Linked DNA regions of Macaca fascicularis. The protein of the gene in region 3 interacts with the protein of the main gene of each other region in a pairwise test. Links are inferred from orthologs where the notes say so. Each region holds a gene or a part of one and is shown on either strand. Other genes may lie near its edges. The genes, in order: RHOJ, ARPC3, WASL and RNF8.

Evidence for each region.
Region 1: the proteins of WASL (region 3) and RHOJ interact in binary tests that used the Homo sapiens proteins (3 or more experiments, as listed by UniProt). The two-hybrid records come from large-scale screens. The link is inferred for Macaca fascicularis from reciprocal best matches to the Homo sapiens genes WASL and RHOJ.
Region 2: the proteins of WASL (region 3) and ARPC3 interact in binary tests that used the Homo sapiens proteins (3 or more experiments, as listed by UniProt). The two-hybrid records come from large-scale screens. The link is inferred for Macaca fascicularis from reciprocal best matches to the Homo sapiens genes WASL and ARPC3.
Region 4: the proteins of WASL (region 3) and RNF8 interact in binary tests that used the Homo sapiens proteins (3 or more experiments, as listed by UniProt). The two-hybrid records come from large-scale screens. The link is inferred for Macaca fascicularis from reciprocal best matches to the Homo sapiens genes WASL and RNF8.

What each region holds. Positions count from the first base shown.
Region 1 is NC_088381.1:131,103,232-131,107,278, reverse strand, and holds the end of RHOJ (rho-related GTP-binding protein RhoJ), read right to left. Parts: intron 3,130-4,047; coding exon 2,983-3,129; 3' UTR 880-2,982; downstream 1-879.
Region 2 is NC_088385.1:117,321,291-117,326,442, forward strand, and holds the start of ARPC3 (actin-related protein 2/3 complex subunit 3), read right to left. Parts: upstream 3,654-5,152; 5' UTR 3,557-3,653; coding exon 3,551-3,556; intron 1-3,550. UniProt on the Homo sapiens protein: Component of the Arp2/3 complex, a multiprotein complex that mediates actin polymerization upon stimulation by nucleation-promoting factor (NPF).
Region 3 is NC_088377.1:165,348,845-165,353,518, reverse strand, and holds part of WASL (actin nucleation-promoting factor WASL), read left to right. Parts: intron 1-1,798; coding exon 1,799-1,885; intron 1,886-2,148; coding exon 2,149-2,245; intron 2,246-3,859; coding exon 3,860-3,883; intron 3,884-4,674. UniProt on the Homo sapiens protein: Regulates actin polymerization by stimulating the actin-nucleating activity of the Arp2/3 complex. Involved in various processes, such as mitosis and cytokinesis, via its role in the regulation of actin polymerization.
Region 4 is NC_088378.1:134,273,175-134,277,848, reverse strand, and holds part of RNF8 (E3 ubiquitin-protein ligase RNF8), read left to right. Parts: intron 1-957; coding exon 958-1,065; intron 1,066-4,674. UniProt on the Homo sapiens protein: E3 ubiquitin-protein ligase that plays a key role in DNA damage signaling via 2 distinct roles: by mediating the 'Lys-63'-linked ubiquitination of histones H2A and H2AX and promoting the recruitment of DNA repair proteins at double-strand breaks (DSBs) sites, and by catalyzing 'Lys-48'-linked ubiquitination to remove target proteins from DNA damage sites.

The DNA.
Region 1 (4,047 bases), on a different chromosome or scaffold from region 3:
AAGGAATTGAACTATAGTTGTTTCTGAGGCCTTGTCTAGCTCCGAAAAGCTAAGATTCTACTTTCAGATGGATATCAGCTGCCACTTCTGGACTTTGGAAGATGGTGTGGACCATTAAAGGATCCTTCTTCAAATTTCTGTGTCTCTTCTTTTTTCTTTTTTGAGATGGAGTCTGGCTCTGTTGCCCAGGCTGGAGTGCAATGGCGTGATATCGGCTCACTGCAACCTCCACCTCCCGGGCTCAAGCAATTCTCCTGCCTCAGCCTCCTGAGTAGCTGGGATTACAGGGTGCCCATCACCATGCCTGGCTAAGTTTTGTATTTTTAGTAGAGATGGGGTTTCACCATTTTGGCCAGGATAGTCTCGATCTCTTGACTTCATGATCCACCTGCCTTTGCCTCCCAAAGTGTTGGGATTACAGGCGTGAGCCGCTGTGCCTGACCTCTATGTCTCTTCTTATCTTTGGTTTCAGAATACAGTTTAATCTTATAGCAGAAAACACTTTTTAGTGAAACAAACTGGATCTTGCCATGAAACAAGGAATAACTGATTAATTTGGCAGAATGACATGAACTTATTTAGGTTGCTTTGTTTTTGATTGTTTTATTCAGTAATTAGCTCCTAAGACCCCTGGGAGCCTGTGCTCCCCCCAGACACTAACCACAGTCTCTATCCAGTTGCTGGTTCTGGGTGACAGAGTGATCTCCCCATCATGATCAGCTTACTTCCTGTGGCCCATTAGGGGAGCGATGACCTGGGGAGCTATTTGCCTGTCGAGTGCGCACACCTGGAAACATACTGCTCTCAATTTTTCATCCATGTCAATGAGAAACGAGTGGCCCGTTAGCAAGATGTAACTATGCAATCATGCAACAAAGCTGCCTAGTAACATTTCATTTATTACAGGACTAAAACTCATTATTGTTTGTAAAGGATGAGTTCATCACCTCTGCAGAGTTATAGTTCATACACAGTTGATTTCCATTTATAAAGGCAGAAAGTCCTTGTTTTCTCTAAATGTCAAGCTTTGACTTAAAACTCCCGTTTTCTAGTCAGTGGAGTGTATGCATATGAAAGAAAATGTTTAGCAATTAGATGGGAGAGAAGGGAAATAGTACTTGAAATGTAGGGTTTTTTTTTTTTTTTTTTTTTTTTTGAGACAGGTTCTTGCTCTGTCACCTAGGCTGGAGTGTAGTGGCATAGTCACAGCTCACTGCAGTCTTACCTTCTGGGCTCAAGTGATCCTTCTGCCTCAGCCTCCTGAGTAGCTAGGACTACAGGTGTGTGTCACTACAACTGGCTAATTTTTAATTTTTTATAGAGACACAGGGTCTCACTACATTACCCAGGCTGGTCTCGAACTCGTGAGTTCAAGTGGTCCACCCACCTCAGCCTCCCTAAGTGCTGGGATCACAGGCGTGAGCCACTGTGCCTGGCTATCACGCAGTTCTTAAGGGCTTACTCCAATAGCAGAAGAGATTAGAAAGGCTGGTTTTTTCCAACAGTGGGAGCTTGAATCTGGAAAGTCTTAAACTAAAATTGTTGTAATTTCATACTACTAAGAAGCACTTTGCTCATGCAATTGAAAAAAATTAAGCTCCTACCTGGATGATTCCAGGGCACTTATAAGCAAGTAAGACTAATTAGAAGCCCTGATAGGCGCTAATGAAAAGGCAGGAAGTAATTTGCTCTGTGATACAAACATTCCTGGAGGTTTGGAATTGTTGTACATGGTTTGGCACAGGATTCCTTACTGCGAGCTTTTGCTTTCCCAGGACCAAAGTCCGTGTTCTATGTCACACATCGTGGAGGGCAGGGGACAAATGGATACAGAGCTTGGTATCCACTGATATGGAATGAGAACTTACATGGGGCGAGCTTAGAAGCCTTTCAGTTGAAGTAAATAGAAAAATTAAGACACTTTCCTTTACCTTTAGGTATTTTTAAACATGTATTTTTATGCTCAGATCTTTCTTTTATAACTGGGTTATAACTGGGGAGAAAAAAGGATCTGGGCATGAGAGAAAGTGAAATCAAGGGAGGAAGAGGCATGCAATGGGGAAAGGGAAGAGCAGGAACGTCCACTTTACTGAATACACAATACTGAAAAGATGGATCCTGCCATATTCTTCCCCCAATCAACTTGGATGAAAAACAGAAATACTATATTCTTAAACACAGTTCATTTTTAGTTTGTCATGGCAATATAATATGGAAAAAAATCAGGCCACTACTAAGCATTTGTAGAGTGCATCTTTGGCAAAAATGTGGACCTGCAACAATTCAGATGGTTTTCTTTCAATCAGGTTCAAAAATCATGGCTCTGTAAATTTCCAAAACTTTTAAGTCTTCTCATGTCTTCTTATAATCAGGCATTCAGAGGTACGTGTTGATTCTAATAGCTTTGGTAGAAACATGCTGAAAATAGAAATGAATATAAAATGCCTTGTCTTTAGGCTAATTTGGTATGGATTTGTAAGGCCTGAGTAAACTGGAAATTAGTACATTTCTTGAAATAATACAAATGAATGTGAGACACATGGGTAGAACAGCAGATTCAGAAAAAAAGGTTAGTATTGTAGTCCCAAGTTTTGTAAAACATCAAGTAAGGCCACCAAGAGAGGAACCAACTTTCTTTTTCCGGTTCCCTGGGGTGATTTCCTATCAGCTTCGCGTTCATGAGCTGGGGATTTGTAAAAGGCCTTTGACTTTGTTTTTGATCTGATCAGCAGCGGCACTGTCTGCAATCCAGGCCCAGCATTCTCAGAGAGTGTGCAGTACGGACGCTTCTGGCTGGCAGGGAGGTTGTGGCAGTGGGCTGACTAGTGTGCTGTGTTGGGAGGGCTCACAGGGTGGAGGGGCAAGCCTCCGTGCAAAGGGAATTCCTTTCTGGTCGTGCCCTCCTTTTTGGCTGGAGCTTGGCCGCAGACATTGGCTGCCATTCTCATGCCTGGGTGGGGTGGAGGCAGGTCCCGGACAACCTCAGATAATTGAGCAGCAGCTGTGACCTTCAGAACAGCGTTTCTTCTTTTTCTTGGGGTGGAAAATGGTGAGGATTGCTTCATCAAAAACCGCTTTGAGACCTTTCTGAGTCAGAGCAGAGCATTCCAAGTAGCACTGCGCTCCGATCTTAAACGCAAAAGAGAGAAAGGCATGAGAGAGAAAAAAGAGAACAGCACAGTGGTATCAGCTCACTGCCCAGACAAGCACTCACTTCTGCCTGTCCTACAAACAGCTTGTGGGGTGGTTTGGATTACGTTTGCCTTTTTTTTTTGTTTTTTTCATTTCAATTTGTATATGTTATTCTATTTTTTTGTATTTTTGTATTTCTTACATTCCTTTATTAGCAATAAATGGTTGTGGATCACTTCTGGAAAGCAGTACATCCTGAAATTGATCCATAGCCATTTATTCCTAAGAATATAAAAAATATAAAGATCTAAAAAACTAGGAGACAATTCAAAACCAATGATATAATTTAAATACGTTTTGTGAAGAACAGGGGTGCATGATCTTGTTTTTCATATCCTCTCATTTGTAGGCAGAATGTGTAAATCATGTATAAGTGAAATGTATCTCCTTTGGTATGATAAAAGGCAAAGTGTCAGCTTGGTTGATAAAGCAGAGAGAAAGGGAGTGGGTGATATGGTTTTATAGGTCATTCTTGATTAAAATGTACCTCTTTTAAGGTACACCTCAACAAGGTAATATCCAACTGGCATTATTATTTAGTTTTAACATTTTATTTATGTATTTGTTTATTTATTTATTTATTTTTGAGATGGAGTTTCGCTCTTGTTGCCCAGGCTGGAGTGCAGTGGCACTATCTTGGCTTGCCGCAACCTCCGCCTCCTGGGTTCAAGTGATTCTCCTGCCTCAGCTTCTTGAGTAGCTGGGATTACAGGCACGTGCCACCAAGCTGGGTTAGTTTTTGTATTTTTAGTAGAGATGGGGTTTTCCCATGTTGACCAGTCTGGTCTCTAACTCCTGACCTCATGTGATCTGTCCACCTCAGCCTCCCAAAATGCTGGGATTACAGGTGTGAGC
Region 2 (5,152 bases), on a different chromosome or scaffold from region 3:
GGGTTCAAGCGATTCTCCCGCCCAGCTTCTTGAGTAGCTGGGATTAGAGGTGCGAGCCACCACGCCCAGCTAATTTTTGTATTTTTAGTAGAGACAGGGTTTCACCATGTTGGTCAGGCTGGTCTCAAACTCCTGACCCCATGATCCGCCCACCTCAGCCTCCCAAAGTGCTGGGATTACAGGCATGAGCCACCGCGCCCGGCAATAACCTAATTTTTAAAAATTACATTTTCCTATTGTCATGTTCTTAAAGTTATTATTACGAAATACTAAATAATGGGGTGCTGCTGTGCATCTCTTCCAATTCTATGTTTGGTGACATCACATTGGTATCTGGTCAAAGTATTTCCACCACAGAAAGACAAACATCATATAAATCAGGGTACCCAGCCCCCAGCTAAACCAAGACCCAAGCACTATCTTTTCAGCTCTGCCACTTCCTGGCGTTATGCTTTGACCAAGGCATCATTCTTCTTCTCTTAGCTTGTTTCCAAATTTGTAAAATGAGAATATATATATTCCCTTCAGTGGGTAAGTGTGAGTTAAAGGAAGGGAGAAAAAAATCACATTTATGAGAGCATTCTGTATGCTGATTCTTAGTTCTGCTTTTTACAAGATGCCTGGCTTTTTATAAGACAACATGGGTCCCATTCATATATTCATCCATCAAATGATTGCTAAGCACATTCTATGTGCAAGACACTGTGATACAGTAATATACAAAGTAGTACAGTCCTGGTCCTTGAAGAGTAGAGAAGGTAGACAAAAAATAATCACAGGATGGGACGGGCACGGTGGCTCACGCCTGTAATCCAAACACTTTGGGAGGCCGAGGCTGACAGATCACAAGGCCAAAAGATAGAGACCATCCAGACCAACATGGTGAAACCCCATCTCTACTAAAAATACAAAAATTAGCCGGGTGTGGTAGCACATGCCTGTATTCCCAGCTACTTGGGAGGCTGAGGCACGAGAATTACCTGAACACAGGAGGCAGAGGTTGCAGTGAGCCGAGATCGCACCACTGCACTCCAGCCTGGTACAGAGCGAGACTCCATCTCAAACCAACCAACCAACCAACCAACCAACCAACCCAGGGTGAATCCAGGGTGCTCTATGTGCAACTGGAGCCAGTACAGGGCTTTAGAGTCCTTTTTTTTTGGAGACAGAGTCTCCTCTCACCCAGGCTGGAGTACAGTGGCATGATCACAGCTCACTGCAGCCTCAAACTCCTGGCTCCAGGTGATCCTCCCACCTCAGCCTCTTGAGAGGCTGGGAGGAGATGCACTACCACATCCAGTTAATTTATTCTTATTTTTGTAGAGGCAGGGTCTCATTATGTTGCCCAGGTTGGTCTCAAACCCCTGGGCTCAAGCGATCCTCCCATCTTGGCCTCCTAAAGTGTTGGGATTACAGGCATAAGCCACTGTACCCAGCCTAGAGTCCTGGCTTAAAATCTGGTTTTACCATTAGTAGGCAACTTTGTCCAAATTAACTTCTCTGAGGTTCCGTTTCCTCTTCTGTAAAATAGGAATCATGGTACCTACTTCACAGGGTCATTATGAGGATTAGATGGGATAATTTATAAAGTGTGTACCCCAGAGCTCAGGAGTCAAATGGTAATTACGGAATTCATAAAATATGTATTTGTGAGGCTGAATGAGGTGGCTCACGCCTGTAATCCCAACACTCAGGGAGGTCGAGGCAGGAGGACTGCTTGAGCCCAGAAGTTTGAGACCAGCCTGGGCAACATGGTGAGACCCTGTCTCTACTGAAAATAGAAAAACTTAGCTGGGCGTGGCGACGTACACCTGTAGTCCCAGCTGCTCAGGAGGCTGAGGTGGGAGGATCACCTGAGCCAAGTTTGTGTCACTGCACTGCAGTCTCAGAGACGGGGTGTAACCCTGTCTCAAAAAAAAAAAAAAAAAAAAAATCTATCTATCTATATATATCTCTCTATATATGTATTTGCAACTATGGCTTGCTCCTTTTCATCACAAGTATACTTTATCTAAAGTACCCTCTGCCTTCCCTTTCACCAAACTGTCTTGTTACCTATCTAGTTTCTTTTTTTTGGAGTGGGGGGGTCAGAGTCTCACTCTGTGGCCAGGCTGGAGTGCAGTGGCACAGTCTTGGCTCACTGCAACCTCCACCTCCTGGGTTCAAGCGATTCTCCTGCCTCAGCCTCCCAAGTAGCTGGGATTACAGGCACGCGCCACTACGCCCAGCTAATTTTTTTATTTTTAGTAGAGATGGAGTTTCACCATGTTGGCCAGGCTGGTCTTGAACTCCTGACCTCGTGATCCATCCGCCTAGGCCTCCCAAAGTGCTGGGATTACAGGCGTGAGCCACCGCGCCTGGCCATCCATCTAGCTTCTTTATAGCATTTGTCACTACCTGACACTACTGTATGTATCTCCTTTATGTTTACACTTTTATTGTCTCGTCTCCCGATTTGAACGTACACTGTTTAAGATTAGGGATTTGTTGAACTTATTTGCTGCTGTAAATAGAGCCTGGCAGGCAGTAGGTGCTCGGTAACGTTTGTTAAAAATAATGTGTGAGCAGGCTGGGCGCGGTGGCTCATGTCTATAATCCCAACACTTTGGGAGGCCGAGGGGGCGGATCACCTGAGGTCTGGAGTTCCAGCCCAGCCCAGCCAACATGGTGAAACCCCCGTCCCTACTAAAATGCAAAAAATTAGCTGGGTGTGGTGGCGCGCGCCTGTAATCCCAGCTACCCAGGAGGCTGAGGCACGAGGACTGCTTGAACCAAGGTGGCGGAGGTTGTAGTGAGCCGAGATCGCCTCACTGCACTCCAGCCTGGACCACAGAACGAGACTCTCTCAAAAAACAAACAAAAAAAGTGTGAACAATCACACAATAACCGAACCACCTTTTCCCGAATCTGCAAAATGGAGACCATGATGGTGATAAATCTAGCCCACAGACTGCCTGTCAGAAATTAAGTACAACCAGACCGTCATAGATTTTTACTCCCACTCTGATGCACACGAAAAAGGAAATCTTTGGAAGTCAGGCGCCGACCGAGTCTGTGAGGGCCCTATACCCAGGTGGCTCCGGGGTGGCCGCCGCTGCCGGGAAGTGGGTTCTGACAAATGACAAACAGCAGAGGGAGCCTGCCCCCCGGGGCGGAGGAGGAAGTGGGCCTCACAGAAAAAGGAGAAGCTAGACCCTGGACTTGAAATATGAAAAATAAAAAGGGCAACCCTTGGCTTCGCGCTGTAGTGACGCTTTGGGAACCCTGCCGGAGCCGGAAGGAGTAGACGGAGAGAGAGAGAAGAGGGCCTCCTCACACACCCTGGACCCCTGGACCCCGGGCCCACTCCTGCCGCGCCCCCGCCTCCCACGACTGGCACCCGCGGGCTGTCCCAATTCTTCAGCGACCGGTCCCCTCCCCTCGCCTCACTCCTTCTCGGGCTCCCGCTTCCTCTCTGCCTTCCGCCGCCCGCTTCTCTCGGCACACACAAGGTTTCTCCCCGCTTTTCGCAATCCCCGCTGTCTCCCCACACCATGGATCGAACCCTCACCGGCATCTTGGCAGCACCCGGGTTCCAACCCAGAGGAGCAGAATCCAGGTAGAGCAGAACGCTTCCGGTCTGGCAGCCCGGGCGGGGTAGGCGGAAGCGAAACGGAAGGGGCGGGGTGATGACGTGAGCTTCCGGCTTTGTAGTTCCGCCTCTGGTTGCAGCGGCCGCGCGGATCTGAAAGGGGGCGCCAGAGCGCTAGGTAGGGGCCCTCAGAGTGGCGCAGCGTGAGGCGCGCGCAAAATGGAGATGGGTCTTGAGGTTCCAGAATCTTCGATCAATCACCTCTTTTGTGTTTTTTTCAAATTTCACCTTTTCAGGGCCGGGCATAGTGGCTCATGCCTGTAATCCCAGCACTTTGGGAGGCCGAGGCGGGTGGATTACCTGAAGTCAGGAGTCCGAGATCAGCCTGGATGGTGAAATCTCGTCTCTACTAAAAATACAAAAATTAGCTGGGCGTGGTAGCATCCCAGCTACTCGGGAGGCTGAGGCAGAATAATCGCTTGAACCTGGGAGGCGGAGTTTGCGGTGAGCCAAGATCGTGCCGCTGCACTCTAGCTTGGGTGAGAGTGTGACTCTATCTTAAACAAACAAACAAAACACCTTTCCTGTGAAGCCGCCTCTGGTCATTCTGTTTTCAATTCACCCGACTCCAGCCCCATGCCTTATCCTTCTCTCCCGCTTTTTCCCTTAGTTCTTATGATTCTTGTATTTAGTTTACTCTTAGTGCTTGTCTCCCTATCCTTGTAAATGCCAGACAGCACTTCGCCCGTTTTGTCCCCTGGCGCCTGTAACAGTGATGGTATGTAGGAAACATCAGTATTTGAGTAAATGAATGAACCCAATGCACTGCATCTAAAAATAGAGAAACTGAAGGGCACTGGAATCTGAATCGCAGCTTCAATACATACTAGCTCTATAATTTTGAGCAAGTTAACTTGCCTCTGTACTTCAGTTCCTCACCTGAAAATGGTAGTAACAATATTTACCTCATAATTTTGTGACGATGAAATGAATTACATGTAAAATGCTTAGAACTTACATGCTTGGAGCATACCGAAAGCCCAGGAGTTTTTAACCTATTTATTACTAGAAAACTTACGTTAAAAGTCAAGTTCATTGCTACCTGAGAGCCATTTCTTCTGCCAGTTCGCAGCCTGGAATAGAGCCCCATGTTCCCACATCTGATTTCGCATTCAGGTGACTGGGCAAATAGCACCTTTTAGGCAAGGTCTTTTTTGACAAAGAGCCCAAAGTAGCCCCATAGTCACTCTCCATTTCTTTTCTGCTTTCTGTTCTTTCCATCCTCTCTCCGAGGTTCAGTCTCACAGCCCAGCATGACAGCCCCACGTGAGCAAAGCGCTGCCTGCACTGAGTCCCTGTTCTATCCCCAGTACCTGGCATCCATAGAACTTCAGTAAATTTGTGTAAAGAATCATGTCAGCCCTGCCTATGAGACAGTGAAATCCTCGAGGACTGGAATTGTCAGATTCATCTTTGAAACCCTAGTGTCCAGTGGGGAAGGCACTGGAATTGGGTCCTTCACTTTTTCTCCACAGGCACATACCATACTCTCTAGAAGCTAAACCAGGGAGGACCAAGAGG
Region 3 (4,674 bases):
ATAAAAATCTGTTTGCTACTCATTTTTCCTTATGTTGTTTCTCATGATAGACTATATTCAGATTTTCATAGCTTTATGTCCCTCACTCCCAATCATAAATCACATTGCTATAGATTGGATACCCTTTGTTAGATATTCATTTCTTACAGTTGTCATAAAAACATCATTTTGCTAAGATGAAGTCTCCATTATTTTTAAAAAACCTTTCTGTAAGTAAGCCTCTATGGTTAATATTTATATGTGACAATAAGTGCAATGAGATTTTAATTACAAAATACTAAAACTACCTCTAAACTACTGGGCACTAATATGACCTGATAGATAACAGTCAAGAGATTTTTACACCCCTGGTCTCAGCTTTATTTGTAAAATCAGATAACCATCTTGGTCTGTTTTGAAGTATTTCACTGAGTTTAAATGAGATCTTAGTTATGGTATTTGGTAAATTGGTGCATCTTTTGTTGTTGTTGTTTTGAGACAGGGTCTTGCTCTTGCTCTGTCACCAGCCTGGAGTGCACAGCTTACTGCAACCTTGATCTCCTTGGCTCAAGCAATCTTCCCACCTCAGCCTCCTGAGTAGCTGTGACTACAGGCACATGCCACCACACCTGGCTAATTTTTGTATTTTTTTGTAGAGATGGGTTCTGCTGTTTTGCCCCAGGCTGGTTTCAAACTCCTGGACTCAAGTGATCCTCCTGCCTCAGGCTCCCAAAGTGCTGGGATTACAGGCCTGAGCCACCAGTCCCAGGCTAAATTAGTGCTTCTTAAAGTCTGCTTCCAAGACAGCTGAGAGATATGACATGCTTCTGTCACTAGCAGTGGCTTACTATGGCAGTGATTCTGGAGGGTGGGGAACACATACATAATTTGAAAGAAACCCCCAAGTGCTTTGACATATTTCTCATAACTGTTGAGAAGCACTGTTTAGAAATGGCTTATGCATACTACACTAAGAAGAAAGGAATTCCATTGCAGTGGTTATCATGGGTGAACAGTGTATTGTACATATTTTTAAATTGTGGTCTGGGTAGAACCTTGCATTTCTGAATAGGGCAATGACTATGTTTCTCTAACCACTTATTTCCAATTGCTGAACGTTCATGATTCTTCACCTTTGGTATTAAGGTTAAACCTATTTTTTATACTATGACAATAGATATGGCAGTCATCATGGTACTCTTATCCATAGTTTAACCTTGATACATTTTAATTATCAGTCTCTTTCTGCATCATGATTAATACTACTTATACCAGTATGTAATTAGAAAGGTACTCTGCAAAAGTTAAGAATTTGAAGATGGTTAATGAGCAGTACAAGGAAGGTATATTTGACCCTCCCACATCTATAAAATAGAGGAAAAGATCATAAAGTATTCCTGCAGTGTTTGATAGTACATTGTCTAAATATTGCTGGTAGAACTGTGCTTTGATAATCAGTTCATGTACAAAAGTGTCCTATTCCTTCTATGTAACATTGATGACCTAGTAATTATTCTGGTTATGTATTTGACCAAGTAACTGAATTTGGAAATGGTTGGCTAGGGAGATTATATCTTAGCTGAATTAAACTGACTTGATATGTAGGTTTTATGAAAGACACGTTATCCAGTGTTTACAGTTTTAAGAAATTACTGATTAGATTATGTGACACTATTTATATATTATAAATATGTTGCATGTGTGCATGTAAAAGTTATTTTTAATATAAACAGTTATCTTAATATGAGTCATCTGCTTTGTTTTATTCCTAGAGATTATGTTTTGGTAGTTCTTATTTTAATTTTTGACTTTTTTCTAGGATGGGAAACTATTGTGGGAACAAGAGCTATACAATAACTTTGTATATAATAGTCCTAGAGGATATTTTCATACCTTTGCTGGAGATGTAAGTCATATTTTTCTTTATTACCATCTTTTTTCATTGCTTGCCTTTTCTAATCCAAATTATTTATAGAGCCTTATTGAAAGATCAAATTCAATTTACTGTTTTTTTTTTTTTTGCTGAAGGTGAAATAATGTCTTATCTGCTAGTAAAATTAACCTTTCATTCTTTAGAAATATACTTCTTTTGCTCATTGTTTTTATGATATAAAGCTGTTATATAAAGCATGATTCTGTTGTTTCTGCTTTATGATGAAAATATTTCAGACTTGTCAAGTTGCTCTTAATTTTGCCAATGAAGAAGAAGCAAAAAAATTCCGAAAAGCAGTTACAGACCTGTTGGGCCGCCGACAAAGGAAATCTGGTAACCCTTTTTTTAATTACTTAAATTGGACCAGCAAACTAATGCTCATGGGACAAGTGTGGGCCACTTCCTGTTTTTGTAAATAAAAGTTTACTGAAACTTAGCTATATTCATTGGTTTACATGTTGTGTTTGGCTACTTTTTTGCCACAACACAGTTCAATAGTGATGACAGTGATTATGTGGTCCTCAAAGCCTAAACTATTTATTACCTAAAATATTTACTATTTACAAAAAAATTTGGTGGTCTTTACCTTAAAATAATATTTTTCTTGAGAACTGTTTTTTTTAGATTTACTGAAGGACCCATTCCAATAACATTTTTTGTTGATAAAATGTCATATGTATTGTCTTTTAATTTTGCATTTGTGTTAGCATTGTTTGTTAAGTTTTAAAAGTATTTTATACTTTGTAAACAAAGACTTTAGGTAAACTTAGAAGCAAATAAGCAGAGTTGCTAACAAGATCTATAAACATTGCCTTGTCTCTCTATTTTGTTCCTAATACTATATACTATAAAACCCATAAGGAACCTGTTTATTGTGTAACACATATAAAACAATTACAGAACAATGCAGGATAGTATAAAGCTTTAAATTAATTGGTATAGAACTATTGTTCGACAACAGTGTACCAGGCCTTTCTCTTGTAAAGTGGAGAAGGGTGACTAGGAAAGGGGAACCTTTCCAAAATCATCTTAAGCAGATCAGTTTCAGGAGAATGAACATGTGCTTTCATCCAGTCCTATGGTTCTAAAAACTGTATGCTGATGACTCTCAAAGTTTTGTCTTCAGTACTGACACATCTTCCCTGAGCTTCAGACTCTGTCTACTCAAGTTAAGTGACACAATAGCCTTTAGACTTAACACGTCTGAGCAGAATATTTGATCCATGTCCTGTATCCCGAACCCTAGCCCCACTCAGACCTGTTCCTGTTCTTCTACTAATCTTCCTTGTTTCAGCAAAAGGCATTTGTTCCATCTTATCCCTCAGGCTCACCATGGTCCCTCATAAATCCTATCAGAGTCCTATCAGATTGGCTCTGCCTTCAAAAACTTGTCCTGTCTGACTATTTCTTACCATTTCTGCTGCTACCATTCTAATCCAGGCAGCCATGATCTGTCGGTTGGACTGCTACACTAGCTCTCTGACTAGTCTCCCTGCTGCTACTCAATCCTTTTTACTATCACTTTTCTATACAGTAGCCAGAGTAAACTTGTAGATTAGGTTATATCACTTTCTCTATTTAAAATTCTGTAAGAGCTTCCTATCATATACACATATAATCTATAGTCCTTAACCATGGCCTACGGAATCCTACATGATCTAGTCCTGTTCTTTCCTTCTGACTTGTTTCCTTTCACTGTGCCTTTTGCTCACTACAGTTCAGCCTTCATGATGTTCTTTCATGTTGCACCCTCCTTGGAGCCTTTGAATATATTGTTCCCTTCCTTATTTTATTTAGATCTCTGCTTAAATGTCGGGTCTTCTGAAAAATCTTCCTTAGTCACACATACATCAATTTAGGAATAAGACAGTTTAGTGAATTAATTTTTTTATGTTGATGTTGTCTTACATATATTTAATAATATTCTTCTAATTTATTTTCTAACAGAGAAAAGACGAGATCCCCCAAATGGTAAGCTTTTTGACAATTATTAATCGTTTAAGATTTTAGATGACAGTTTAATCCTTGTGGAAACGTGTACCATACATTAGTAATATTTAGTATCTATTGCATCTTAATCCTTGTGAAAACATGTACCATACATTAATAAGTAATATTTAGTATCTATGATCAAATTATACGGTTTATTGTGTTCTTTTTCATTAATGACTGACAGATGAGACTTAGGAAACAATATTCTTCGATATTTTTCTGACATGAAGAAAGAATACATAGTGTGGAGATCACTAATACTTATATCTTAATTCTGGATTCACAGTTGACTGAGTATACAATCTAGCCTTAACATTTTTCCTAGAGGCAGTAAATTTTGTCTAGCATATTTGTTAATTTCCTACTTTAACATTTATCTTTCATTCTTATTTCAAAGTATTATTTCACACTGGTTATGTGTTACATGAAGCCCCTTTCAGAATGAACACCTACTGTTATGGTGTATTTAGAACTAATTTAGCTTCATATAATGCTCTTTAATTTGATAATGACAACTTGAAGTATTATGAATTCATTTTTTAAAAAATATTAAATACCAGAGAGTAAAAGCAGTAAAAGATAAAGTCCAGGAGTAGAAATTCTTACCCTAGACTTCATAAAGTCCCTGAAATATGTGCTAAATATGTTCTTTTCTCTGGAGAGAGAGGATCCATGGCTTTCATCTGTTTAAATGAGGTCCCTGACTCTGTGAAGGTAAAGAACCATTCTCCAGGACCCTTTATTATGATAGAGAAAATGGCTGCTGCTTT
Region 4 (4,674 bases), on a different chromosome or scaffold from region 3:
CTGCAGGCCTCTGCAGGCGTGGGAAGTGGCAGGTATCATAGAGCATGGAGCCTGAAGGTAATTCAAGAGGCCTTTCTCCAGCCTTCTGCCTCCAGAGGTGTGCCTTACTTTATAGAAAAGGCAGCTGCAAAGAACACTTTAACTTTATAACTAATTCAAGTTTCCTGCCTCTCTGGACTATTCATGCGTCTTTTCTTGTCCAGTGAGTTTTTCATTATTTGGGATGATCTTATGTAACGTCCGAACTACGGCTTGCTATAAACTACTTAATGTCCCATCTGGTCTTGGGTGGTTGGTGTGGTTAGTATACCACCTGCATTTTTCTCATTTGACTAATTTTGGGGAAGGAGACAGAAACTGCAATGCAAATACTGAAAAAGTGGTGTTTTAGTCCATTCAGGCTACTACAAAAAAGACCCATAAACTGCATAGCTTACAAACAACAGAAATTTATTTCTCACAGTACTGGAGGTTGGGAAATCCAAGATCAAGATACTGGCATATTTGGTGTCTGGTGAGGGCTATCTTCTGTTTCATAGATAGAGTCTTGCTGTGTCCCTACATGGTAGAAGGGGCACACGAGCTCTCCTTGGGCCCCTTTTATAAAGGCCACTAACCCGATTTATGAGCATGGAGCCCTCATGACCTAGTCACCTCCCAAAGGCCCCACCTCTTAATACCATCACATTTGAAAATAAGTGTCAACATGGGAATTTGGGAGGAAGCACAAACATTCACACCATAGCAAGTAGGGAGAGGAAAGAAAGAAGGTTAGTGCTCTGCATTAGAAAACAATTATTAACAATAACCCTTAGGGAAAGTGTTCTTAATGTTGCTATACCAGAATGAATCATTCATTAAGACTGAATCCTCTTCTAAATAATTAACCCTGCTCCCTGTCCCCTTTTGCATTTTTGTTGGTTATCTGAATGACAGGTAGGATTGTGTGTCTTGCAGGAAGAGAAGGAGAAGGTGCAAGCACAGAAGGAAGAAGTTCTCAGCCACATGAATGATGTGCTAGAGAATGAGCTCCAATGTATTATTTGTTCAGAATACTTCATTGAGGTAATGAAGTTGCTCACCCCTTCTTTTTTTTTTTTTTTTTTTTTTTTTTTGAGAGAGTCTTACTCTGTCACCCAGGCTGGAGTGCCGTGCTGCGATCTTGGCTCACTGCAACCCCCACTTCCCGGGCTCAAGCAGTTCTTGTGCCTCAGCCTCCTGAGTAGCTGGGATTACAGGCACATGCCACCACGCCTGGCTAAATTTTAGTATTTTTAGTAGACATGGGGTTTTGCCATGTTGGCCAGGCTGGTCTCGAATTCCTGACCTCAGGTGATCTGCCCACCTCGGCCTCCCAAAGTGCTGGGATTACAGGTGTGAGTCACCACACCTGGCTGACCCCTTCTTATTCTCCCAACCCTGAATGGAGCCTGGGCTGTACAGGCTGCTTCTACTATAGGGGAACATTCTGAAGAGATTTTCTTCCAGGAACTTACAACTATTTGATTTCAAAGTGACCCCTAGAGATGACCATTTCTCATTTGTTTTTATAATCTTCTTTCCCTTCACTGTCCTTTTGTGGCATTTCATCTGTTCTTAAATGTTTATTTGGTATGATTAACATTTTTAGCTGCAGTGAAGCTTTTATCTCTTTGTTGTTGAGGGGAAAACAGGGCCAAATTAGATTTTGGAAGTATCAGAATAAAGCTGCTCAGTAAAAGCTATTTTTTCTTTACTCTGAATGGGCCCAATGCTGAGAATATGCTTATAGTGCAGCCTTTTAAACGAGGGGGTAAACGCCATTAAAATGTGGTCACTTTGGGAGTTCAGGGCCCAAGTTGAGTATATTTCAGGGACTCTGAGGCTCCTTATGGAAACTTGAAACCTCTACCATTTGTTAGCCTATCATATTTTTGCACTGGCTTATTTATTTATTTAACAAATTCTGCCATTTATGACCAGTTCACCTTAGACCACAAGTGTTAAACTCAAGTTACTAAATGACAGTGCTTTTCAGACTCCTTTAAAAAGAAGGCCAGGCGCAGTGGCTCACACCTGTAATCCCAGCATTTTGGGAGGCCAAGTGCAGGAGGATCACTTGAGGTAAGGAGTTCGAGACCAGACTGGCCAACATGGTGAAACCCCATCTCTACTAAAAATACAAAAATCCCAGGGGTGGTGGTGTGTGCATGTAGTCCCAGCTAGTTGGGAGGCTGAGGCAGGAGAATCACTTCAATCTGGGAGGCGGAGGCTACAGTGAGCCGAGATCACACCATTGTACTCCAGTCTGGGCAACAGAGCAAGGCAGAAGAAAAAGAAGGCTGAGGCAGGAGAATGGCATGAACCTGGGAGGTGGAGCTTGCAGTGAGCCGAGATCGCGCCTCTGCACTCCAGCCTGGGCGACAGAGCGAGACTCCATCTCAAAAAAGAAAAAAAAAAAGAAAAAAAAAATGTAGGCCAGTTGCAATGGCTCATGCCTATAATCCGAGCACTTTGGGAGGCCAAGGTGGGCAGATCACCTGAGGTCAAGAGTTCAAGATCAGCCTGGTCAACATGGCAAAACCCCATCTCTATTAATAATAGAAAAATTAGCTGGGCATGGTGATGTGTACCTGTAATCCCAGCTACTCAGGAGGCTGAGGCAGGAGAATTGCTTGAACCCAGGGGGCGGAGGTTGCAGTGAAGTGATATCGTACCACTGCACTCCAGCGTGGGTGACAGAGTGAGACTCCGTCTCAAAAAAAAAAAAAAAAAAAAAGGGAAAGCACATATATGCACAGCTTTCTTTACTCAGGTGATCTTTAGGGAGGTTGGGTCTGTTAGCCTCTTGAAAAATCTCTCCTAGGGAGACCTTTTTCTTTTGCTGTGGGTCCACTTAGACTTCAGATCGTAACTTCCCCCATAATTTCTAGTCATCTGATTCCCTACTTTGGAGAAGCTCTGTGTTGTTTTGACAAGGCTTATGGACTCTAGAAGAGGAAGACAAGAAACGGGTTGAAATAAATGATGAGTTAGCCAACCTGGAGCAATCCGCAGAGACATATAAGACGTAAACAACTTGACCTGTGTTTTGTTTACAGAATACCTTCTTATCTACTTTACTGGTTACCTCTTAAAATCAGTCTCAGAAATATGTTTTATTTAATTTATTTGTTTATTTTTGAGACAGAGTCTCGCTGTGTCACCCAGGCTGGGTTGCAGTGGTATGATCTTGGCTCACTGCAACCTCCACCTCCTGGATTCAAGTGATCCTGCCTCAGCCTCCCGAGTAGCTGGGACTACAGGCACCCACCACCATGCCCGGCTAATTTTTTTATATTTTTAGTAGAGATGGGATTTCATCATGTTGGCCAGGCTGGTCTCGAACTCTGACCTCAGGTGATCTGCCCACCTCAGCCTCCCAAAGTGCTGGGATACAGTAAGCCTCAGATGTTTCATTTTTATCACATAGGTTTTCAGTACTGTTTATGAGAGCTTGTCTTATGTAATAAACACAATGTTTCCTAGCTTCTGTGCTCAACTTGGCATTTAAAAAATATGTAATATCAGTGTTATTTTGCACTGTTATCCTAAGAGCAGGAATGAGCACTTTTGAGCATAAGATACAAGAGCCTTGTATCTTAGGAGATGTACATAAACAAAAGTAACAAAGAGAAAGGTTTGTATTCTCCAGAGTGAAAAGGGCTCTGGCAGAAATTGACCAGAGGGATTACTCAGAGGAGCCCCACAAATACAGGCTTCCTTTTGCTTTCTCTCTTCATTGGCACATTTACTTAGATATTCAGGCATTGTCAATAAACCCATTATATTTTTACTTTTTAGTTTCTTTTTTTTGCCCAGCATTTTTAGTTGCCTTCTATATTATTTTACTTTTTCAGTTTTAGAGATGATATCATATAATTCTCTATACTTAAAATTTAGTATGTGTTCCCTTTCATATGTTAATTAGCAAGACAAATTTGTTTTTCTTTTTGAAAAATTTGTTTTACAAAAGCGTCAGATTGGCAGAAACTAATAATATTTATTGTTTGTTTTTGTTTGTTTGTTAGTTTTTTTCCAGGCAGTGTCTCACTCTGTCGCCCACGCTAGAGTGCAATGACGCCGTCATGGCTCACTGCAGTTTCTAGCTCCCGGGCTGAAGTGATCCTCCCACCCCAGCCTCATGAGTAGCTGGGGCTACAGACTGTGCCACCATGCCCGGCTATTTTTTTTTTTTTTTTGGTAGAGATGGGATTTCACCATGTCTCAGGCTGGTCTTGAATTCCTGGCTCAAGCAGTCCACCTTCTTCAGCTCCCCAAGTGCTAGGATTACAGGTGTAAGCATTCACACACTTATTAGTCCTACTCATATCCAGTAACATTTTGTTTGCAAGGTGGCCAGCCCACACTGGGAGCGTGGTCTGAGTTGGTGGACTGAAACAGACAAATCCCTTAACTTTGAGAAAATAAAAGAATTATCTAACATAAAGCTTAAAATTTCCCAACCCTAAGAACGATTTTTTTTTTTTTTTTTTTAAAAGACAGAGTCTCCCTCTGTCACTCAGGCCAGACTGCAGTGGCGTGATTTTTGTCTCACTGCAACCTCCACCTCCTGGGTTCAAGAAATTCTCGTGCCTCAGCCACCCGAGTAGCTGGGATTAGAGGTGTGTACCACCATGACTGGCTAATTTTCAT